Linked DNA regions of Drosophila melanogaster. The protein of the gene in region 1 purifies or fractionates together with the protein of each later gene. This does not show direct contact. Each region holds a gene or a part of one and is shown in the gene's direction. Other genes may lie near its edges. The genes, in order: wal, Mcad, Gfat2 and Kap-alpha3.

Region 1 (5,796 bases):
CCTAGACGGCATCAGAATCTGCTAAGGCATTCTGGCCAACATTTTTGCATATTGTAAGCCAAATTGGTTCGCACATACATTAGCGCAAGATGAAAGTGCCTGAGAAGCATAGGTTTTATACGCGCCCACTTTATCGAAGGAATGTGCAGCACGCAGACGATTGGATACCCTAGGAACTTTAGCATAATTAAAATGGATATTTTCATAATTTCAGAGTTTTCTTAGATGAACCTTGATACTATGAACTTTAAGATCCAGTTTCTTCTCTGCATTTATGCATTGGAATTTTAGACATATAAATGAATAGATGCTTGCCGATGGCCTCGCATACCTTTGTGCATAATTGGAAATGCCTTTTCCCCACTCACGGCATGACTAAGCTCCGTGCTCCGTAAGTGATTTGTTTGCCCGGCTCCCGACTGGCAGACAGCCTCAAGCTCGGGCTCAACTCAAAGGCCAAAAAAACTGACTGGCTGACTGGCTGGCTGACTGATTGAGTGTGTGCGCGCCCACATCGGTGCGCCAACTGGCTGTTAAAGGGTTAAATAGAGTATTTCTCTTTTTTGAGGCACTTGGCTGTGAGCACATTTCACCGCTTTGGCCATGTTTGCTGTGTGCTTGCCGGCTGATAGGAATCTTTGGAGGCAGTGCAGCCAGGGATTAGGATACGTGGTAATTGCGGGTGCCCCCTTTGATACGATTTGTTTGCATATTTTGCGGACCTAATTGCGTGGACAGATATGCATCTGAATCTGCATTGTCGACGGGAAAGCGTTTCCCACGGCAGCGTGCGCCCAAAGATCATGATGTGTGGGATGAATTGTCAGCACTCACCATTATCCGCGTTCCTTTCAAGGAAGTCAGTCACGAAAGCACAGAATCTGCAATGACATAGGAAAGAGATGGATCATTACATGAATTGGTAATATCTTGGATTGAATAACAAATTAGAATTTCTTTTCATTTCATTCCAAAAACAAAGCAAAATTAAAATAATGCATATTGCAAAACCACATTTATGCGAGCATTAAAACGATCCAACTAACGATATTAATAATATTATTAATATTGTAATTATTAGGAACATTGCCTACAATATAGTTCTTATAATAAGAAGATGAAGACTTATCCAAACCATGTTCCAAAATTACAACATTTTCGAACCAGAGCTAATAAATTTTCCTATTAATAGTTGCTTAAATTCATAATTACCTTTGGGCTAGCTTATGCGAGGGTGTCTGTTTTCCGGGGATCATCAGCTTCTGGTGGAGCACATCGTGGTTGGTTATGGCACTTGGGTGGTAGTATCGATTCGTGTTGGTCAAATCGATGATGAGACCCATATCGGGTACGATCTGCAGAAGGGATTCGGGCGCCAGCCGAAGATTCTCCTTCACTTTGGCGTTGACATGCTGCAAAAGATAAAAAAAAAGAAGGGAGCTGAGCAAATATACGAGGGCATTACAATGGGCGGCCATAGATTGCTCAATTTATGCAAAATGCCCGGAGGGCTGGCAATTAATAAAGGCCGTGGATCCGTGGCGTTATTTAATTAAGCAAAAACAATTTAATTTAATATTCATGTGGGGTCCATGTTCCAGTTGCCACTTTTATGCATAATTACAATGCACAAATTTCGTCGTCGTTCGTTGTTATTTATATTTTTAGAGGGCCGCTCAGTCGGTGGTCCAGATCCTGGGTTTTCAACATCCATCAATTGGCGGCTCTCCTGTCAACCGGTTTCTTGGATCTCGGATGGAGTGTGGTACGCCACTGGGCGGGCGGAGGATCATCGGGAACTCACCTGATTCAGCGGCACCTTAAAGGCTATGAAACGAGTGCCAGGAACACGATCTCCAATCGGTTTGTACTTCAGCCATCTGCAATTGGTACAAAAAGTAACATGAAAAAATGACCAGCATAAACAACACGGGTTTCTTTGGGATATTCTCCTAAACTGCACTCACCTGTCTGGTATGTCCTTGACCATTTTGTCTGTTCGCCAAACCTTTTACCGAAATTTAAAAATAAAATTTCGAAGTTCTTCAAAATTGTTGACAATGTTTTGCAAAGAAATAATTCTTATTCCAGTGTTGCCAGATTACTTTAAGAGATTACTCAACATATGCTGCTGAGTTGACACTGTTAGCTAAACTGTGACTGGTCACGATTATTTTTAAAACTCTCGCTCATTCGCTCTTTAACTGAAGTAATAACATTTATAATCTATATTTAATGTTTCTATTTAATAATAAATGTAATTTTTTTAATACTTCATTCTTCATTAAGCTCTTTTACAAATTTATGACTAGTAATATTAATCGGCTTGCATATTTTTTTAAATGGATAATAAAATTAAATTAAATAAGTCCATTAATCAATAATTCCAAGATTATATTTTATATATGTTCATTTTTTCACTTAAGTTCCTGCTGCTTAAAGTTCACATAGATCTGTTGCTCCATCTGTTAAGTAACAGCTGTTGTGTATTGGCTAGGAGGTACCAAAAAACGGCAAACGCTTAAATCAGCGGAAACCTTTGGACTTTCTGTGATTTTACAGCGAAGGTAAGAGTTTTAATTAAATATTAATGGACTTAAATTAATCAAACAACAATTTTCCCTCGCGTGGATAGCTCCAATAACCATCCAACATCCAAAATGTTCGCCAGCAACACGCGTAATCTTATGCGCAGCAGCATTGTGAGTGGAAATTTCTTAAAAAGATAAAAAAAAAGCGCAGGCGGTGATCGCTAAAAATTAAATAACAAAATATCAATTTTCCCACTTGCAGTTGCAGCGATGCAAGAGCACTTTGGTGGTGGCTGAGCACAACAATGAGGTACTCAATCCGATCACCCTGAACACCATCTCTGCGGCCAAGAAGATCGGTGGTGACGTCACAGTTCTGGTGGCAGGCACAAAATGCGGACCCGTAAGTCCCCCAAGAAGTCTCACATTAGGGTGGTTCCATTCGCAGGGATTTCGAATCATCAACGAATCTAATCAAATAGGCTGAACATGCATCCTAAGACCTTTGCGATCTGGTAGAAATCAAACCGGCACAGGATTATATAAACATATCTCATTAGAAAACAAGACTTTTGAGTTGTTGGTAATACTGCATCTAAGAGATAGGAATTGTTAACCTTGATTATATACTTCTGACTATAAGTACACTTTAAAAAGGGTCCAATCTATTTTCCACTTAACTCTTGCTACATTCCAGTTTTCCAATTTTCATACTAGATTAAAACTAACTAAAAATTTAGAAAAAAATGTTTTGATTTTGGATTGGTGAACCCTTACTTAGATACAATATATAGTAACCATATTTCAAAAATGCCGAGCAAAGTGATTTCAATAGATGACCATTTTAAAATACCAAGACATTTAAATTATAAAGCATCGAACCACCCAAGAGCGACTCCCACTGATCATAAGTATTTGGTGCGATAGATAATCTTACATAATCACTCTCTTGTTTTCCAGGCTTCCGAGGCTCTTTCCAAGGTGGATGGCGTGACCAAGGTTCTGGTGGCCGAAAATGCCGCCTTCAACGGATTTACCGCGGAGTCGCTGACCCCATTGGTCCTGGCCGCCCAGTCTCAGTTCAAGTTCACCCACATCCTGGCCGGAGCTTCGGCTTTCGGCAAAAACGTGCTGCCACGCGTGGCGGCCAAGCTGGATGTGTCGCCCATTTCGGAGATCATCGATGTTAAGTCGGACGACACCTTTGTGCGCACTATCTACGCCGGAAATGCTATCCTCACCCTGAAATCCAAGGACGCCGTTAAGGTGATCACCGTAAGGAGCACCAATTTCCCACCGGCAGCCACCAGCGGTGGAAGTGGAGCCGTGGAGCAGGCACCAGCTGGTGACTTCGCCAGCAGCCTGTCCGAATTTGTATCCCAGGAGCTGACCAAGTCCGATCGCCCCGAGCTGGCCGGAGCCAAGGTTATTGTGTCCGGAGGACGGGGCCTGAAGTCCGGAGATAACTTCAAGCTGCTGTATGATCTGGCCGATAAGTTTGGTGCCGCTGTGGGTGCCTCTCGTGCTGCCGTGGATGCTGGATTTGTGCCCAATGATCTGCAGATCGGTCAGACCGGCAAGATTGTGGCTCCCGAGCTGTACATCGCTGTCGGAATCTCAGGCGCCATCCAGCACTTGGCTGGCATGAAGGACTCCAAGACGATTGTGGCCATCAACAAGGATCCCGAAGCGCCCATCTTCCAGGTCGCCGATATTGGCATCGTGGCAGATCTTTTCAAGGCCGTGCCCGAACTAACCGGAAAGTTGTAAGGCGAGATTGTCACTTGCTGTAGTATAAAGATTGTGTACCGATGAATTGATAACTGTTGCATTTATTTGAATTTTGACATAAGTCCGTGGAAGATTTTCCCTTAAATTTTGTAATAAAACAAGCCGAAGACCTATTCTATGTGAAAATTGTAGTCTTATCAGTTGAGTGCAACTGTTTAAATCAGCAAAATATTTAAAAAAGGCCCAGGGCTAGCAATAACCAAAATTCAACTAGGATAAACTGTTTACTGGCATTGCAGATTGCACCTAGTCTAGGATTTGGTTTCCTTATCAGTTTCCCATCGTATATTTATTTTTCAAGAAGCTTTTATGAGAGCTTTATTAATTAAATTAGTTATACTAGAAAGCTGATCAAGCCAAAACAAATTGTAGCTAAAAGCATCAAAAAGCTTTCTCGCCAATTGCGAACTTTTTTAAAAAGTGTGAAAATGTGAAAACTGTGTACAAAAAAAGATTATAGATCAAATCAATAGGATTTTTACGCTTAATAAACAAAATGTTTAGGAATTCGTAAATCGTTGGTATATTTTTGGTACAATCAAGTTAAATATAAATCGCAGAATCATAAAAACTAGAATTAGGCCAAAAACTACGCCTATAACCAAAGTGGTCCACTCTAAAGGATTCAGGCTGTTGGTAGTGGGTAAAACGTGTGTGTTGATGCCACTCTAAAATGGAAAATCATTGAAATGAAACCTCGACAATTATGAAATGATCGGAGAAACTCACCCAACCACCATTCTCGTTAATCCACGGAACCAGCTCATCTTCGATCACCTCGGAAACGCTCTCCATCAACTTGGGCAAGTATTCCGGATGTCCTTGGCGTACACAATCAACGGACAGCCCACCGGCGATGGCGAACAGAGAGATCACCTTGCTCCACGTAATCTCCACCCGGAAGAGCTCGCGACCAACGGCTCCCAAAAGCAAGCTCACAGCATCCGGAGTATGGAACTCACCACCCGGATTCCGGCAAATCTGACGAGCTACTCCGTTGTATATCCGGGGATGCATGCGCTCCAGTTCATCGCCCAGCTTGGGCAAAGGTGTGTAAAATGATTAATATAATAAAATAAAGCGTTATTTTTTGCTTACCACTTGGACCGCTGGAAACACATCGCGCACAATGCCCATGGAGGTGGAGCCCAGTATGCTACGTATGCGCTGCAGTCCCAGCTTTTTGTTGAACAAACCAGATCTTCTGAGGCGTCTCTTGATATAATGACCGCACAGGCAACGACCCTTCGGTTTTTTTATGATTTTTGGAATCAGGCGATATTATATGTTTGTGCAAGGAATTCCTCGTCTACCAGCTCACCTGAGAAATGATATCCTGCGCTGGAATCTGTGCCGCCTTCCAGCCAATCGTGTAGGAGAGTTTCCTGGTGACGGCATCGCTGACATTACTCAACCTACGCCTCGTGGTCTCCTTGGGACCACCACCAACCTCCAGTAGTGATGCGGAATGTAG
Region 2 (5,744 bases), on another chromosome or scaffold:
GTGTTACACTTTTGCTCCAAGATTATGGTCGCGATTATGGCCCGAAAAGTTGTGATTCATTGTCACTTTCAGGGATGATTCATATGGGAATCCAACTGTTGGGTAAAGCTTAAAGATGTTATCATGGCCAAATTGACCAAGAGTTGACACGGGGTTATCGTGATTATACGTTATTGTATTCGGTAGTTAAGTGAAGAAAGGATGATACATCCCATAGAAAAACTAAAAGTCCTTTGATATCAAATTGAATTAAAAACTTAAGTTACTTTAACCAGTTGATATGTGACCTTAAAATGTACTTCAGCATGTACTTTCTAGAAGATGAAAAAGGGATATGCCAGGCCTAATTATAACCCAACAGATACATACCCAACGTTGGCTGACTTACAGCTTTAAACCTTTAAGTGGATAAACATGGATATCGTAGGATTGTGAAAACTTGTTAAAGTCATTTAAACTTTATGGACTGCAACCCACTCCTTAGGCAATTGGGTGTGACCTCTAACTTTGTCCCCTGGAGTTCTGATCACGTGACCATCTGTATTAAAGGGAACCAACCCATTCCCCAGATCCCAATCCAATGATGTAATCCTAGGCAGGACAACTCACCGCACTCTGGTGTCCTGTGGGGCAGTGCTCGTGCTTGTTGGGATGGTGGTGGGTCTGTTGCTTGTGGCTGGCACCACCGTTTGCTCCTTCATGGTGGAAGATCTGCTCGTGCTGATGCTGGAAGTACTCGTAGTGACCGACATGATCCGGATGGTGTTCCGTTGGCGGTGAATGGATCCTCGACGGTGGGCTGTGGTGCTGTCCCTTGGCGGCGTGGCCGGAGGTGGTGCTATGATGCGCTGCCTGCTTCTGTGAATGGCCACCTGCTCCTCCATGATGACCACCGCTGCTGGTATGATGACCATGTCCGTGGGCATGATGGTGATTGTGGGTTGGCGGCGAGGGCATGTTGTGGCCGCTGTGGGGCAGATGCGACGAGTGCTGCACACCCACCTGATGTCCGTGGTGGTGAGGAACATGACCTTGGGACGCCTCCATCAGCGTTGGCTGGATGTGGGTCACAAACTGGGCCATTTTGCCGCAACCTTCAACTACTGCTCCCTTTTTGTTGTGGTTTCTTTGAGGTTTGGGCTTAGGTAACACTTGTTTAAAATTTCACTCCTCTATGAGGCGGTTTTTTTTTTTGGGAAGGCGGGGGTGGCACTTTTATATGTATCCCAAAAGTGGGAGTGGGTAGCACAAAAAAACACACACTACGGCTGGCTTGCGGACGAGTTGTGGGCGACGGAGGATTTGGGCTCGGACCGTGGACAACCTTCTCGCAGGAGCAATGTCAAATGACTGACTAGGAGCAGCTATCCCAGTTGGGCCTTAGACGCCACAGGACTCGCCACCCGCCATCGCACCACCCGAACCACTTCGGCTCCAGCTCGGCTGTGCGCGTTCGTCCTCGTCGTGGCGGAAGAGCTTTAACCGGACCCAGTTTTATGCGCCTGGCCTGGCTGATAAGAGATACCACTCGCTTCAACGGCTGATTACGACTTTGGATGGCTGCGGATGCTGATTTAATGATGTCTTCGTGCCGCGCCACGTAGTGCTCTGTTTTTTATATCTGCCTGTCAACTGTGTCACGGATTTCCAATTCGTTTCGCTGGAGATTTTTTTGTCGCTGGGAGGCGGGGCTGCAATCTGTTATTTTTAAAACAGCCAGAGGAACATGTTCCGTCTATTTGTGTCAAGCGGGAAAGTATGCTCCGATTGTTAAGCACCTAACAGGTGGCAGCGAAGTCTAACGACTAGGGACTATCCTGTTGGTTCTTATTTTATTATTTAACATATCAAATCATGTTTTAAATGTTTTGAATATGGAAAAATGGGGTTAAAAAGTTAAAGCGAATGAAACCTATAATTATCTAATTGTCTCTACATTTTATTCTAAACTAACCAAAATATAGTATATTACTATTTAATATGAATTATCCCTCAATGACCTCTGCCGACGAACATTTTCAAGCCTAATATACCCGATTGTATTATTTTATACCTATTGCCCAGAAGCAATACGTTACGTTGTGAACTGAAAGCTTTTACCTTACGTAGATTGCTGGGCATTACGTTAAAGCTATGTTTTATTAAGCTTATTTCGTAGGGTATTTCGTGTGGTACATTGATATCTTAAAAAAGGGGGTGTGTCTCTTCATACACATATGCCTATGTACTTGACAAAACCTGGATGAAATGTACAGTTGGTATTTTAAAAATATTTTACAATACAATTTATTTATATAAGCATTATATTACAATTAAGGCGAGGTACAAACAAATTTGTTAACTCTTCGAAAAGCTTTGGGAAAGTTCCATCAACAGCGCATACAAATGTCTGCGAAATCTTCCCTTATCTCAACCTCCTGCATATATTTGTAGGTGCATATGCTTGTAGTTCGTTCGTCACCACGATTCTGTAGCTTTTGCGACTGCCAGCGCAACAAGGTCCAATGTCCAAGCGTCGCTGCCATATCGCGATGAACCAATGTACATATGTATGTACATATATAACATCGCTATACCGGCGCATCGGCAACTCGTTTGGATCATTTCGCTGGCAGCCACCGACGAGTTAGCAAGGCGACCTAGTTAAAACTCAGGAAAATACGAAAATAAACCCACATTCAAATGGCGTTCCTCAACAAGGTGAGCATATCAGTCAATTTACAACGCAGAGAAAGTGAAAAACACATCGCTGGGACATATCATATCCAAAGGTCCAAAGTTCTATCACGCTAGTGACGACAGCAACTGTTGATCGTAGGATCATACATACATATACATATGTACCTACCAACAAACATATATTCGAGTGGGTTCCGTTTCGAAAACAATTTGTTGCTGCCTATCTGTTAGCAATCATCTGTACTTTGCCCCCCCTGAGAAAGTATTATTAGCGGCGTCTAATGGCGGCTTATCGTGCACTCTATTTAAATCGGAATGCAAACTTTATGGGCAGGCATATTCGTTATCTGTTTTATGAAAAAAATAGAATGTGATGGTTGGTTATGAACCTCAAACATCCAAAGTCCCTTGTAAATATAAAAAAAACCTTCGTCTATGATCATGATGTTGTATTAATTAAATACATACGTAGTTGGCCCATTTTATTTGTTGCTTGTAGTTAAGATTAATTCGCGGTCAACTTTGTTGTTGTTCTGATTATTTCTACATTTTCATTTTGCATTTCGATAAACACTTGTTTACCAGTTGACTTTAAATCCGATATCCAATATCCGAAAATCCAGCTTGCTGCGCCTGCCCTGCGCCAGTTGGTGTCCCAAAGTCGCGCCTACGCCGCCGTGTCACACGTTTCGCCCAATGGCACCTCTTTCGCACTCACCGAGGATCAGCTGCAGCTGCAGGAACTGGCACGTAAGTTCACCCGTGAGGAGATCATCCCGGTGGCCGCCCAGTACGACAAGAGCGGCGAGTACCCGTGGCCCATCATCAAGAAGGCCTGGGAACTGGGCCTGATGAACAACCACATTCCTGCTGATATTGGTGGCCTGGATCTCGATGTGTTCACCACCTGCTTGTCGGCCGAGGAGTTGGCCTATGGCTGCACTGGCATCATGACCGCCTTAGAGGCTAGTGGTCTGGGCGTAAGTTTAAAGTCATGTCTATTTACGGCAAGATGATCGAAACGCCACGTTCTTTCATAGCAAACTCCTGTGATCCTGTCCGGTAACAAGGAACAGAAGAAAAAGTACCTGGGCCGCCTGCTGGAGGAGCCACTTGTCGCCGCCTATTGTGTTACAGAGCCCGGAGCAGGATCCGATGTGTCCGGCATCAAGACACGCGCCGAGAAGAAGGGTGATGAGTGGGTAATCAACGGCCAGAAGATGTGGATCACCAACGGTGGTGTGGCGAACTGGTACTTTGTGCTGGCCCGCACCAATCCGGATCCCAAGTGCCCGCCCAGCAAGGCCTTCACCGGGTTCATTGTGGAGCGCGACAGTCCCGGACTAACGCCCGGCCGCAAGGAGTTGAACATGGGACAGCGCGCCTCCGACACGCGTGGCATCACCTTCGAGGATGTGCGCGTGCCCAAGGAAAATGTGCTGATTGGCGAGGGTGCCGGTTTCAAAATTGCCATGGGCACCTTTGATAAGACGCGTCCTCCAGTTGCTGCCGGAGCTGTGGGTTTGGCCCAGCGTTGCTTGGATGAGGCTCTTAAATACGCGCTGGAACGCAAGACCTTTGGCGTGCCCATCGCTTACCACCAGGCTGTGCAGTTCATGCTGGCTGATATGGCCATCGGTGTGGAGACATCCCGTCTGGCGTGGCGTCTCTCCGCCTGGGAAATCGACCAGGGACGCCGCAACAGCTACTATGCCTCCATTGCCAAGTGCCATGCCGCCGATATGGCCAACAAGATTGCCTCCGATGCCGTCCAGATCTTTGGAGGCAACGGCTTCAACAGCGAGTATCCCGTGGAGAAGCTGATGCGTGATGCCAAGATCTACCAAATCTACGAAGGTACTTCTCAGATCCAGCGCCTCATCATTTCCCGAAACATGTACGAGGCTGCTAAGGGTCAAGCCTAAGTCAGTTTTAACTAGGATTCCTCATCTCCATTCACCTCATCAGTTGTCATGCTCATTGTAGACACATTCACAAATCCGATTAATAAAGTACAATAAGTAAATAATTACAAGAAAATATAAATCATTGATTGTGATTTGTCTGTTGAGGGAAATGTTGTATAAATGGCACTTGGTAATTTCTAAGGAATTACTTATTCCTCAAGTGTATAAAAGGAAGGAAGAAGTAAGCAAACAGTCAGTGCGTTAGTATGTTTACTAATTCTTAATATTTCAAGTTTCTCTAATCTTGCCCTCACTTACCCCCAAAATTGTAGAGTCTAGACCATCGCAAATTATTTCGCTAGCTATCATCCATTGATAAGATAAGCCCTGTGGGGGCTGAGTGTTTGTTCTACTTAGGTTCAACGAATCGCTGTTCTGCTATCAACTGAACGATAAGACTTACTGTACTTAGATTTGCTATATAATTGTCAAACAATAAAAAATGCTCTGGGACATACAACACAAGGAAATGGTTTACACATGATGAGACTACACTATTCCGCATCGCTTCCATCAGCGAGTAGCTTAAGTAGACCTTTGTACCGCCTTCCAATTTTCCGGCTATTTGATGTGGTCAACATTTTGGCCTTGTCTCCAAATTGCAGCTGCCAAATGGACTGAAGTGTTTCCAGGGCTCCTGGCATGGAGAACACCTGCTCATCAACTGTTAATTCTAAGCGCCTGGGCAGCTGCTTTAGTTGTTCGAGTTTTTGCAGACGAATGTCATCCAGTAGATTTGTACAATTAACGGCCAAAAGATCGCGTAATTGAGGTAGTTCATCTAATATGTATCCAAGAGTAGTTCCACTTAAATTGCTATTATCACTGATATCCAACATCTGTAGTTGTTTGGCTTTGGCCAAATGCTGGCTGATATTGTACATATGCGCATCGTTCAAGCCGCAGCCAGCGAGCTGCACTCCGACAAATCGCTCGCAGGTACCACCTTCGAAAAGCGTAACCAGGCGCTCACTCAACGCAAATCCACTTGCATCGTCGAGGGGCCAGCGCACATAACTGAGATTCAATTGCTCCAGCCGGCAACTATTCAGTTGATCCGTTAGCCGACGCACACTCTGCTGTGTAAGTTGATTAAAG
Region 3 (6,311 bases), on another chromosome or scaffold:
TACTGCAACGAGAAAATATGACGCTATTAATCTGTTGATCTACTTAACGTGTTCAAAGCTAACTTACTTGTCCAAATGTGGCGCAGGCTGTGTTGTACTACAATGAGAAACAGAAGAAGAGAAAAATATTCTTTACACTTTGGCTAACTGGTTGTTGGGCTGCAGTAGGCAGTTGTAGTTGAAATCGGTGTTGTTGTTGTTGTTTCAGTTGTTGTTGTTGTTATTGTTGTCGGTTGTGGCGGAGACAATGTCATGTGCAACAAAGTTTAAAGGTTTCTAGGTGTGTAGGCAGAGGTGGCACACAGGATTTTGGCAAGCCACCAACCGCAAGAGCCGCTGCCGCTGGCCATGGCCAGCACATTGTCATCTGGCAGATCCATCGTGAGGATCCAGCCCAAGATTCCCGCAAAGATCCACAAGGAGCCGACAGCGAGAGAGAGAGAGATTGAGACACACACTGAGACCCAGGCCCAGGGACCAAAGACCATGGAGCTGAAAGACCTGCATCGTCTTTCGCTTGGTTTTTGGACCCACAGACCAAATGCACTAGGGATGCTGGGATGGCGGTGCATCGGCCGATGGAGGACAGATTGCGATGCATCTGTCCGCTGGTCAGTGGGACGCTAGCTCACACTTTAACGCCCACGGGCTAAGGCTAAATGGCAATAGATTAATGAACAACAACAGTGGTTTAAGTATAGATCAAAAAGAAGACGAAGAGAGTTTAGCTGTAATATCGGTGCCTGAAACAGAACTGAAACTAAATTTACGGCCACGTTAGTCCGGACCAGCCGGTTACGGTCCTCCGTCGAGAGCACTTACATAAAGAACTGCGAGCCATTTGTGTTCTTGCCCCGGTTGGCCATCGACAGCAGGAAGGGACGATCGTGCTTCTTTTCGAAGCTCTCATCTGGAAAGAGGAATCGGATTGTTTAAACCAAATTCACTTTAAATGTTACTTTAAAGCCCAAGAGAGATGAGCAACTCAAGTTATCTTCTAGATAACTTTTTAATGCGCATGTAATTGGATTTCCCAAAGCCGCTTCTATTTGCATATTTGTCCCATTTTCCACCCAAACGTATAATTAGCAATATGTAGATGTATGATGTGCACCATTCCCTTATCTTTCTAATGGAAATATTTGCCAAAATGTAAATTTAAATTGAGTCGCTTGAGTAAACATTTATTTTTGACATTTAAATGGGGCATTTGTACACTTTGGCTGGCATATCAAAAGCGTTTTAATTTTTTTCGACAAAGATTAAACTTAAGTAGATTATTGTAGTGCAGTTTAGATGTAATTGGCTGGAAGTTTTTAAATCTCCAAATGTGGGTGTCTGTATTTACAGTGTTTTTATTACATTTCTCCCCCTACTGACTCTTTATTAATTGCACTTTAAGTACCCTGTATATTCCCTTTCGTTTTCTGTTCTTCTTATCAGATAACCACTGTATTGATTTTTTCCCACACAAACAGCAGCACACACACACAAGCGTGTATGTATGCATGCAGGCATCGAATCGGAAGCCGGAAGAACTCACCCTCGAACGTCCCGCCGTAGATGGACTCGCCGCCGGTGCCGTTGCCCGCAGAGAAGTCGCCCGCCTGGACCATGAAGTCCTTGACCACCCGGTGGAATATCACACCCTTGTACTGCAGCTTCTTGCCGGTGATTAGGCCAAATCCCTTTTCGCCCGTGCAGAGTGCGCGGAAATTTTCGGCCGTTTTGGGCGCCACATCGTTGAAGAGCTCGAAGACAATGCGGCCCATGCCCAGGCCGCCCAGGGAAATGTCAAAGAAGCACCGCGGTCGCGTGGCACCCGCGTCGCGTTTGTTTACCGTCATTATATGCGCCGATTTCTGCCAATAAATGCTGTTTAATACGTATTTCACGCCGTTTTCGAGTTGCACAATGTCGGCGTTGCCAGCTCTACTCAGAACTAGGGATGTCAAAAACATACAGTTAGAAATATCGATGTGCAATATGCTTAGCATATTTTCGGGTATCGATATATTAATTTTAATATATATATTTTCTTAAATTTGTTAATACATACATATGTACGCTCAAATAAACGGTAAACTTTGAGCTATATATAGTCAAAATACACCATTGATTACTCTCAGCAACCAATAATCATTTTATGCTTTTTGGTATAACTTCCAAAACCTTTAGAACATGGGTTGAAAATATTATCTTCAATGCTCATATTTTTGGGAAAAACAGAATGTCGTTTAAACCAACTATGAAATGAGATCTGGCCTTTATGGTCATATTATATTAAGCTTTTTCAGACAATTTACACAGTTAACATCTTTGTATATAGCTTTAAAAGTTTATTATATTATTCAATACATAGTAAAAAAATAATTTATTAAATTACCGTTCCATCCCTGGCTGCAATACGGTCACACAAAGCCAATGTTTACATGGCAGCTCGCGTGTGGCTGTAGCTGTGTGCGTGAGCGAGAGCGCAAGAGCGGCGCGTGTGTGCGTGCGAGCGGGAGAGCAGGGCGAAGACGTGTTCTTTTCGCCGAAAAAGCAAATAATTGGGTTGGTTTATCAGAGAAAAACAAAAAAAATTCCAGCCAGTGTCGCGATAAAAACACGACAATCGCATTGCAGCCGCCTCAGAAGTGTAAGATCAGCCTCAGCTGACCGGAAAGTTAACATTGCGACGTGGAAAACCACGAATCACCAGCAAATTTCAGCAAAAGCAATCGCATTTCAGAATGTGTGGCATATTCGCGTACCTAAACTACTTGACGCCCAAGTCGCGACAGGAGGTCCTGGATCTCCTGTTGCAGGGACTGAAGCGGCTGGAGTACCGCGGCTACGACTCCACGGGCATAGCCATCGATGCGCTGAACTCTGGCGAGGCACAGTCCATAATGCTGGTGAAGCGCACCGGGAAGGTGAAGGTGCTGGAGGATGCGGTGGCGGAGGTGTGTCGCGGCCAGGACTACTCGCTGCCCATCGACACCCACATAGGCATAGCACACACGCGCTGGGCCACCCACGGTGTGCCCTCCGAGGTCAACTCGCATCCGCAGCGATCCGATGAGGATAATAGCTTTGTGGTGGTGCACAATGGCATTATAACCAACTACAAGGATGTGAAGACGCTGCTGGAGAAGCGCGGATATGTATTTGAGTCCGACACGGACACGGAGGTGATTGCCAAGCTGGTACACCACCTGTGGCAGCAGCATCCTGGCTACACTTTCGGCGAGCTCGTGGAGCAGGCCATTCAGCAGCTGGAGGGCGCCTTCGCCATCGCCTTCAAGTCGAAGCACTTCCCGGGCGAGTGCGTGGCCTCCAGGCGAGGCTCACCGCTTCTGGTGGGCATCAAGGCCAAGACCAAGCTGGCCACCGATCACATACCCATCCTGTACGCCAAGGCCCATCGGCCACATGGTCAGCCGCAGCAGCAGGCCTATCAACTATTGCCGCCCGGCGATTGCAACGCCGAGTTTCAACCGCTGGAGCGCAAGGAAGTGGAGTACTTCTTCGCCTCGGACGCATCGGCTGTTATAGAGCACACGAATCGGGTGATTTACCTGGAAGATGACGACGTGGCCGCCGTCAAGAGCGATGGCACGCTCAGCATTCATCGCCTAAACAAATCATCCGATGATCCGCACGCCCGCGAGATCATCACGCTGAAAATGGAGATCCAGCAGATCATGAAGGGCAACTACGACTACTTTATGCTGAAGGAGATCTTCGAGCAGCCGGAATCCGTGGTCAACACCATGCGCGGCAGGATGAGGTTCGATACGCAGACCGTGGTTCTGGGTGGCATCAAGGAGTACATACCGGAGATCAAGCGCTGCCGCCGCTTGATGCTAATTGCGTGCGGCACATCCTACCACAGTGCGGTGGCCACCAGGCAGCTGCTGGAGGAACTGACCGAACTGCCCGTTATGGTGGAACTGGCCTCCGATTTTCTGGACAGAAACACGCCCATTTTCCGGGACGACGTGTGCTTCTTCATCTCCCAATCGGGCGAGACAGCGGACACCCTGATGGCGCTCAGATACTGCAAGCAGCGAGGAGCGCTCATCGTGGGCGTTACCAACACGGTGGGCAGCAGCATCTGCCGCGAGTCGCACTGTGGCGTCCACATCAACGCTGGACCCGAGATCGGAGTGGCCTCCACGAAGGCCTACACCTCCCAGTTCATTTCGCTGGTTATGTTCGCCTTGGTCATGTCGGAGGATCGTCTCTCGCTGCAACAGCGCCGCTTGGAGATCATCGATGGCCTATCGCAGCTGGACGAGCACATTAGGACTGTCCTCAAGCTGAACTCGCAGGTGCAGCAGCTTGCCAAGGAGTTGTACGAGCACAAGTCGCTGCTCATTATGGGCAGGGGCTTCAACTTCGCCACCTGTTTGGAGGGCGCACTGGTAATCCATTTGATAATTTGAGCTATAATTTAATCGAATCTCATTTATGCATCGTAATGCATGCATGGGAACGTAATGATGGAAAATAACCGATGTCAACAATTCACTTAACTTGTTTATTTGCCAAGTGCACTTAAATTAATTATTATGTTTGTCCCACGCTTCATGAGCTGAATTTAATCAATTAACTTGCTCATTGCAGAAAGTCAAGGAGCTGACGTACATGCACAGCGAAGGAATCCTGGCTGGAGAACTGAAACACGGACCACTGGCCCTGGTGGACAAGGAGATGCCCGTGCTGATGATCGTGCTGCGGGATCCGGTGTACACCAAGTGCATGAATGCACTGCAGCAGGTGACGTCCCGCAAGGGCAGACCGATCCTAATCTGCGAGGAGGGCGACAACGAGACCATGTCCTTCTCCACGCGTTCGCTGCAGATCCCGAGGACCGTGGACTGCCTGCAGGGCGTGCTCACGGTGATTCCGCTCCAGCTGCTGTCCTACCACATCGCCGTGCTCCGCGGCTGCGACGTGGACTGCCCCAGGAACCTGGCCAAGTCGGTGACCGTGGAGTAGGCGCCCCAACTATCTGGCTAACTGGCTCGCACCGTCTCAAGAATTCCATTTTAGTATCTGCCTGAGAAAAACAAAACAAACCCTAGCACTTAAGTTAAAATTTTCTGGTATTTTGTCGGATCAAAATCCGAACCCTTAACCCATTTGTGCTCCTTCTGGCTGAAGCCACATATGTTTAACCCCTACATTTGTAGCTGTACTGACCCTTTGTGTTGTGGACCCACTACTTTTTGTGAATGTGCAATTGAAATATAATTATTTCCAGTTTTTCTTTAAAAGTGTTTTGCTGCTTTCAATTAAAAATGGATTGGAAAATGTTTAACCAGTAAATTTGTTTGAAAACGGGAAAAACCAAACAAAGATCTATATGTACCTCACTTTACAAAAAATGCTTATCTGACATTAAACATTTGTTTCAAATGTTTAAAAAACGAGGGCCACGTCACGTTATTGCTTACGTTATGTTAATCACGTTGTAAATTTTAGAAAAAGAAAAATTACATATATATTTAATTCTGATAAAACTAAATAAAAATAAATTCTGATAAAAATAAATGATATTCCGAGCACTTAAGTAGTGTGAAATCGATAAGCCGCATAAATTTGAATGTCCTATTTTCAATTTCAAATCAAGTGGTAAATGGGGAAAAAATAAGTTTGTTCTCGAAAAGTAATTCTTTCTGGAAGATATTTCAAAATCATATTTAAAAACAACATTAAATAAATTAAATCAGTTGCGAGCCGGTTGGGACATCTCTATTAACCGTAGCTATCACATCGGTCGATATCTATCGCAACGCAACGCAAACGAATTGAACAACAACCCTGCTCTTTTTCTTTTGGACCCGTAGAACCACATGTCTGGTAACCGATTTTGATTTTCGTTTCGGCGGTATAATGCTCCAATTAATTGACTAATTGCGGTTAATTGACAAGACAAGTGAACGGCGCAAGTACGGTGCAACCAATAACGCAGCGAGTGTGTGTGCAATTGCGAAAAAACCCGATAAATAATATTCGTAACGTTCTGCCCAGCAGCGCGTGAGTGAGTGCGAGCGAGAGGCAGTGATTCGAGGTGCGTAGTGGTGCGAAAGTGTGTGTGCAAGGAAACCCGCAAAAGCAAAAGCAAAGCAACAATAACAACACACGCACGCACACACACACTTGTGTACGTGTTAACACGCGGAGCGGAAAGTGCGTAGTGAACATACGAAACGTACGAAACAAGAAGTGGGAGAGATAGCGGAATAAAATACAATTCTTGTTTCCATTTCAATCTCCTCTGGTGCGTATTCAAATCAATCTGAACCTTAACTTGTGTA
Region 4 (6,422 bases), on another chromosome or scaffold:
GATCTTGACTTTCGGTTTCTCCTGGTGTTGGATTCGCGCACGTTACGCTTGGGTGAAACCGACAATTCCTCCTTTTCATCATAAAAGCTGTTGTGCGCCCGTCTACGGCCGTTGGAAGCCTTCTCCCGGAGGTACGACTCCTCATCGGAGAGCGAGATATCGGAGAGATCTTGTTCCTGCCGTGACTTTGTGCTCGCTGATTCAGATCCTTTCAAGCGATCCGCTTCACGTTGCCCGTTGTAAAAGCTATTGTTGGAGCGGACGCGTTCCCTTTCATGCTCCTTTTCCCGTTCCCTTTCTCGTTCCCAGTCGCGATGCTTCTCCCTTTCATGTCGTTCGCGCTTTTCGGAATGACTGGAAGGCTCCACAGCGCTGCGCTTCCGGCTCTCAGACTTTTCTTTCTCCTTCTCGGAGGGAGCTTGTGCTGCCGTAAACTTATCTTTGGATTTGTCCCTATCCCTGTCCCTGTCCCGATCCTTCTCCTTTGATTTGTCCGTAACGCGGTCCCGATCTTTCTCCTTAGATTTGTCCCGGTCCCGATCCTTCTCCTTGTCTTTGACTCTGATGTCTTTATGTTTGTGCTTCTTACGTTTATGCTTGTGCTTGCCTTCCGCCTCCGAGTCGCTGCATTCGCCATCTGACTTGGTCGTCTTCTTTTTCTTGGCCTTCTTATCCTTCTTCTCCTTTTTCACCTTTTTCTTTTTCTTGAACAGATTGTCGTCTAGAAGTTCCTCTGGTGGAGCGGCATTGAATACGCCGAACAGCTCGGCAAGGATCTCGTTCGAGGACTTTACAGGCTTAATGTTCTTCTTGTCGTCCGCCGACGCGGAGCTCTCGCTCTCCCCCGACTCGTCATTGTTGCCCAGTTCATTGCTGTTGCTCCTCCGCATCAAAGTCACCATCTCCGCCTTGATCTTGGCATTCATGGCCCGGAGTTTGGCCTCCACCTCTGCGTCCGGTCGTTCGCTCTTTACCTTAATTGGCGGAATCTTGGTCAGTGCAAGTGGCTCCTGAACCGGAGGATTTGTCTGAGACCCCGCCACTTGAGGCGTTTCTACGCTCGCCCCTTTCTCTGTGTTCTCCGTCATTGCTCTCTCGCTGGGCGCGGATCGTCCTAGTGTCTATGCATGCTAATAGATTACCGCAACAGATCAGCGAATTTGTCGCTGTTCGCGATTAAGCGTTTTTCTGCACGTCTTGCTTGGACAGAAGTTTCAATAATAGCGATGACACTCGTAATGGTATCTACAGTTCGCAGGGCTCAAAGATATCGATACTTTGCTAGAGTTGTGTAATAGTACCGTCACGACAAGCGCCTGCTTGAAAAAACCTAAATAATAAGAATTGCTATAATGCTTTTTAAGACAAATGAAATATTTCCTAAATAATGTTCAACTGGTTCATAAGCTTACAACTCCAACTGAGTAAACTTAAAATTTCTAAATTTAAAAAATAAGTCGACATAAATTCAGATCTGACGATTGGTGCTTCAATCGACCCTGCCTATAAGTGGGCAGTCCCGAATTGCCAACCGCAGCCAACTTCACTCACGTCGTTGTCACTGATTGCAATTTTAATAAAAAGGAAAGAATTTTATCACTTTTAAAAGACGTAGAAAGTGTATGTGTCGTGGGAGAAACCCGATTTACTTGCTAAAAACGTAAGTATCCTCTACCGAGGACCAAGAGAAACACTTTTTTCGCCCGTTGCATTGCTAATTTTCATGTATTTTTTCGCCATTTCCTTTTTTCAATGCCTGCGCCATCGTGTTATGCTGCAACTGTGTTGGTCGATTCTACGTTATTTTTTCGTGGATGTGCGCTGGTGTGGGTGCGAATAATTTTTCCCATTGGCTGGTGTGCAATTGAAACAAATTATTAATTGTTCATCGAATACGCTAGGAGGCGTACGTCGCCAACATCGCATTCAATAGTTTTTAAAAACTCACTTTTTAACAGCCAATCGAAAAAGCAAACCCTTATACAAGGAAATCAGACAAAATGACGTCTATGGAGCAAAATCGTTTACAAAACTTCAAAAACAAAGGGAAAGACCAGGATGTGAGTAGTTAGAAGTTACCGCTGAAATGGGAAACATTATAATATTAATTAATTTGCAGGAAATGCGACGTCGGAGAAATGAAGTCACCGTTGAGCTGAGGAAGAACAAGCGCGAAGAGACCATTCTCAAGCGTCGCAATGTGCCCAATTTGGACTCGAACACAGATGAGGAGGAGCAGTTGTCCTCGTCCATTGACCTGAAGAAGCTGGCAAAGGCAGCCGCAGACGCCACCAAGCCGGAACAGCAACTGGCCGCTGTTCAGGCTGCCCGCAAGCTGCTGTCGTCGGACAAGAATCCACCCATCAACGATCTGATCCAAAGCGACATTCTGCCCATCCTGGTGGAGTGCCTCAAACAACACAATCACACAATGCTCCAGTTCGAGGCCGCCTGGGCCCTGACCAACATTGCCTCTGGCACATCGGCTCAGACCAACGAGGTACGTTCAGCTTTCCCTCTCAGCACTTTCTTTGTTTTAATGCAATATAATCCTGTATAGGTTGTTGCCGCCGGTGCCGTGCCGCTCTTCCTTCAACTTCTCAACTCGCCCGCTCCCAATGTTTGCGAACAAGCCGTGTGGGCCCTGGGCAACATCATAGGCGATGGTCCTTTGCTCCGCGATTTTGTCATTAAGCACGGAGTCGTGCAGCCACTTTTGTCGTTCATCAAGCCAGACATCCCCATCACATTCTTGCGCAATGTAACATGGGTTATTGTGAATTTGTGCCGCAACAAGGATCCGGCTCCCCCGACAGCCACCATTCATGAGATCCTGCCCGCACTCAATGTGCTCATTCATCACACCGACACGAACATCCTGGTGGACACGGTCTGGGCCATCAGCTATTTGACTGACGGTGGCAACGATCAGATCCAGATGGTCATTGAAAGTGGAGTTGTACCCAAGCTGATACCACTGCTGGGCAACAGCGAGGTCAAGGTACAGACAGCCGCACTGCGGGCTGTTGGCAATATTGTGACTGGATCGGATGAGCAGACACAGGTTGTGCTCAACTACGACGCGCTCTCCTACTTCCCGGGCCTGCTCTCGCATCCCAAGGAGAAGATCCGAAAGGAGGCGGTTTGGTTCCTTTCCAATATAACCGCTGGAAATCAATCGCAGGTGCAGGCCGTTATTAACGTGGGTCTCCTGCCCAAAATTATCGAGAACCTAAGCAAGGGCGAGTTCCAGACACAGAAGGAGGCTGCCTGGGCCATCAGCAATCTGACCATTAGCGGCAACCGCGAACAGGTCTTCACCTTGATCAAGGAGGGCGTCATTCCGCCATTCTGTGACCTCCTTTCATGCCAGGATACGCAAGTTATAAATGTAAGTATAATTTGCGTCTCTTCACATATTTGTTTTGAGTAACACATTCCCCTTTTTTTTAAAGGTTGTTTTGGATGGTCTGAACAATATGTTAAAAGTGGCCGATTCTCATGTTGAGGCGGTGGCCAACTGCATTGAGGAATGCGAGGGCCTGGCCAAGATCGAGCGTCTGCAGAGCCACGAAAACGTTGAAATCTACAAACTAGCTTATGAGATCATCGATCAATACTTCACTGATGAGGTGAGCTAACAGTTTAAGTCAACCGTTTGTTATTATTCTAAAACGTTTTTGATGCATCCTTTACAGGGCGAACAGACTAACATGGCACCGACCTCCGACGGCGCACAATACAATTTCGATCCACACGCCGATAGGCTAACGATGAACTCATTTAACTTTTAACGATTTAATCAGAAAGCAGCCGCGCAGTAGCAGTGAAGTGAAAACCAAACACGTGCAACACCACATAATTTGGCGTTTATTCGTACACAATCGCTTGTGTATGAACAAGCCCGACGAGCCGTCAACCAATTCACATAATAATAGCATTATATTTTGTCCACCACACAGCAGCAATTAGACAGCCGGGTTCGTTTTAGGGACGAGAATAGGAACTCTGGAGGATACACAACGGATAATCCGCTGCAGCCGTTTTAGCTTCTCTCAATTCTGTGTTAACAAAATTACAAAATTCAGACATACACACACTCTTGGGTGTGTGAATGTGCAATGCAAGGACTTCTCCGATTGAAGCGACTCTGCTATAGATCATCCAAAATATAAACACAGGAATGAGAAACAGATTTCAAAAAGAATGTAGACCTATTTGATTTATATGAAATTATTTAAATATTTACGCTTCTGATTTGTAATTGAAATTACATATGTATACATTTCTAACATGAAAACGATAAAAGCAAAAGGCAACTCATCATTTTGTTTCCAGGCAGATAAGTTAAGCGGAATTTTATAAGAACAAGTGTGTCGCGTTTCAAGACCAGGCATTCGAGTTGTCCGTCGGCCGAGCTGTTAATAATTAGCGTTTATTTCAGCTAGTGCGTCACTTGAGCACGTTTCCCATTAATGCGCAATTGCCCGTCTACCTGGCAGGGCAGCTGAAAAATCGGCTTTCACATGGCAACAGATCGAGTAAATATTTGTAAACAATCAGATCGAAAATCGAATTCGGATTGCAACAGAAGGGACTGGGCGTTTCCCTCAATTGAGGGATCAAATTGTATTAATGACTTATCTGCAAAGCATCAGTTTCGCTAGTGTTCTGTATACAGTATAGGATACTTTAAATCAGTTAGATTTAGTTGAGTGATGTGATGTATGTTTTACTTTTAAATCTTGAGGAGTGTGGGAATAAATAGCTCTTCATTTTACTTTTACATATTCGTTCTTTCATATAAAGAAAGTTTCGCCTGGCGGTTGTTTTTGGAACTACTCAGAATATTTACGTGTAACTTACCCATCATCTACATGGGCTTCTATAATTATTTATAGGACATTCCGAATTCTGTGATGAAAGTTAACTTTATGAAAGTGGTTCCAGCTCGTGCAGTACAAATCTTTTACTGAAATTTACCTAATTTTTCGAAAATAGTATACTTTGACTTATATATGCAGGCGGGACAACGTTTACCAACACTAGAATTTGAGATGGCAGATTGTCTAGCTGTAGTACCCCAGCTGTTGCGGTGCTAAAATTATTTTTATAATTGTGTAATTGTATGTGTTTTAATACGTCATTTCCTGTGAGATTTAATAAATATAAGATTTAGATATTAATTTTTTTGTATTAGTGAAAAATGGCGCATCACTGTTGTCGCGTGACTCCTAAAAAACTTGCATTTGCCTGCTATTTATAGAGATGCTGCACTTGTATTGGTAGCGATGCATTCGATTCAGACACATTTGCTTCCGTCAACATTTTGCTGCGGAAATTGCGGAAATTGGCACACTCTCCTCAAGGTCAAGGATGTTGTGCGATAGCTAATGAACCTGTGATCGTGCAAAAACCTGTTCCTAAAGATGAATGCATGATTTTTGCACTTTTTAGAAAGTCAAGTACGAGTTGTAGGTACAATTGTATAGGTATTTCCTTAACGTGTCAAATTAAACACGTTAGAAAATAGCGCGCTCAGCTGTTCGAGTTTGCGGCTGTGTGGGTGCTAGCTCTCTCTTTTGCTCTCTTTGTCTTTTTCGCTCTCTCACGAAGCTTTTTGGCTTTTGTTGTTTAGCGTTTCATAGTAGATTTTATTTTGTGATTGCCAGCCAACGAGTTTGGACGCATAAATTATCATCACTGCAACCCGTGGAATTTTTTCGCACAAATAGCAACAACAACAAAATGTCGTCCACAGCCGTTCAGCCACCGCCGCCCGTTCCCCCGCCGCCACCATCGGCCGTCCCTTCCGCCGGAAAGGGCATCCACTCCAAGCTGTACAACGGGATGATTGGCGCCGCCGACAAATTTGTGCCCGCCAAGCTGCGGCCACTGTGGATGCATCCAGCTGGTAAGCCTCACATAGACCACTATGCTACATAAAGAGCACATCTTTAGGTTCGGTTTGATTCCAGGTCCCAAGACGATATTCTTTTGGGCACCCGTCTTCAAATGGGTAAGTAGACAGAAAGCCAGACGGATGGGATTACATAACTCGGACAACGCACGACCTTCGCTGATTTTCATTATCGCACACATACTATAGTTCACCATAAATCCGAAACGACGGTAGACAAATCTGAGCGCAGGTGCCATTAAATGAAATTATTTGATTATTTCGAGCAACCTGCGCTTGATAACAACCGCATACGGTTGTGTTCGTGAGCGGATTGCCTTCTGTTGTGGAACCCTATGAAAAAAAGTTTCCCAAAAAAATCAAAAACTTTTGATTTATTTAGTTAGTTTGTTTGTTTCGATAGTAGGCATATAGATGCCTCATACTTATGTACATACATATATCAAGCCACAAATAAATAAAACAAAGAACAGCCAGTTGAGATCTCCCATAGCGGCACTAA

The links.
Region 2: the proteins of wal (region 1) and Mcad purify together in Drosophila melanogaster (affinity purification with mass spectrometry, with the first as the bait; one large-scale study listed by BioGRID). This does not show direct contact.
Region 3: the proteins of wal (region 1) and Gfat2 purify together in Drosophila melanogaster (affinity purification with mass spectrometry, with the first as the bait; one large-scale study listed by BioGRID). This does not show direct contact.
Region 4: the proteins of wal (region 1) and Kap-alpha3 purify together in Drosophila melanogaster (affinity purification with mass spectrometry, with the first as the bait; one large-scale study listed by BioGRID). This does not show direct contact.

Annotation. Positions count from the first base shown.
Region 1 is NT_033778.4:11,687,584-11,693,379, reverse strand, and holds wal (walrus), read left to right. Parts: upstream 1-2,516; 5' UTR 2,517-2,567; intron 2,568-2,635; 5' UTR 2,636-2,660; coding exon 2,661-2,702; intron 2,703-2,793; coding exon 2,794-2,934; intron 2,935-3,491; coding exon 3,492-4,301; 3' UTR 4,302-4,811; downstream 4,812-5,796. Other genes in the region: CG13197 (uncharacterized protein), read right to left, coding at 835-881, 1,213-1,412, 1,805-1,880, 1,968-1,990; buffy, read right to left, coding at 4,823-4,990, 5,052-5,360, 5,421-5,567, 5,644-5,796.
Region 2 is NT_037436.4:7,716,758-7,722,501, forward strand, and holds Mcad (Medium-chain acyl-CoA dehydrogenase), read left to right. Parts: upstream 1-2,592; 5' UTR 2,593-2,682; coding exon 2,683-2,700; intron 2,701-3,141; exon of another isoform or gene 3,142-3,302; coding exon 3,303-3,659; exon of another isoform or gene 3,660-3,719; coding exon 3,720-4,604; 3' UTR 4,605-4,715; downstream 4,716-5,744. Other genes in the region: CG7457 (uncharacterized protein), read right to left, coding at 5,141-5,744.
Region 3 is NT_033777.3:28,335,971-28,342,281, reverse strand, and holds Gfat2 (Glutamine:fructose-6-phosphate aminotransferase 2), read left to right. Parts: upstream 1-2,516; 5' UTR 2,517-2,735; coding exon 2,736-4,412; intron 4,413-4,614; coding exon 4,615-4,989; 3' UTR 4,990-5,263; downstream 5,264-6,311. Other genes in the region: Moca-cyp, read right to left, coding at 1-2, 68-97, 823-910, 1,544-1,847.
Region 4 is NT_033777.3:9,572,846-9,579,267, reverse strand, and holds Kap-alpha3 (karyopherin alpha3), read left to right. Parts: upstream 1-1,534; 5' UTR 1,535-1,620; exon of another isoform or gene 1,621-1,660; intron 1,661-1,794; exon of another isoform or gene 1,795-1,958; 5' UTR 1,959-2,000; coding exon 2,001-2,060; intron 2,061-2,119; coding exon 2,120-2,500; intron 2,501-2,560; coding exon 2,561-3,391; intron 3,392-3,455; coding exon 3,456-3,632; intron 3,633-3,698; coding exon 3,699-3,794; 3' UTR 3,795-4,784; downstream 4,785-6,422. Other genes in the region: Son RNA binding protein, read right to left, coding at 1-1,088; CG9399 (uncharacterized protein), read left to right, coding at 5,749-5,914, 5,979-6,019.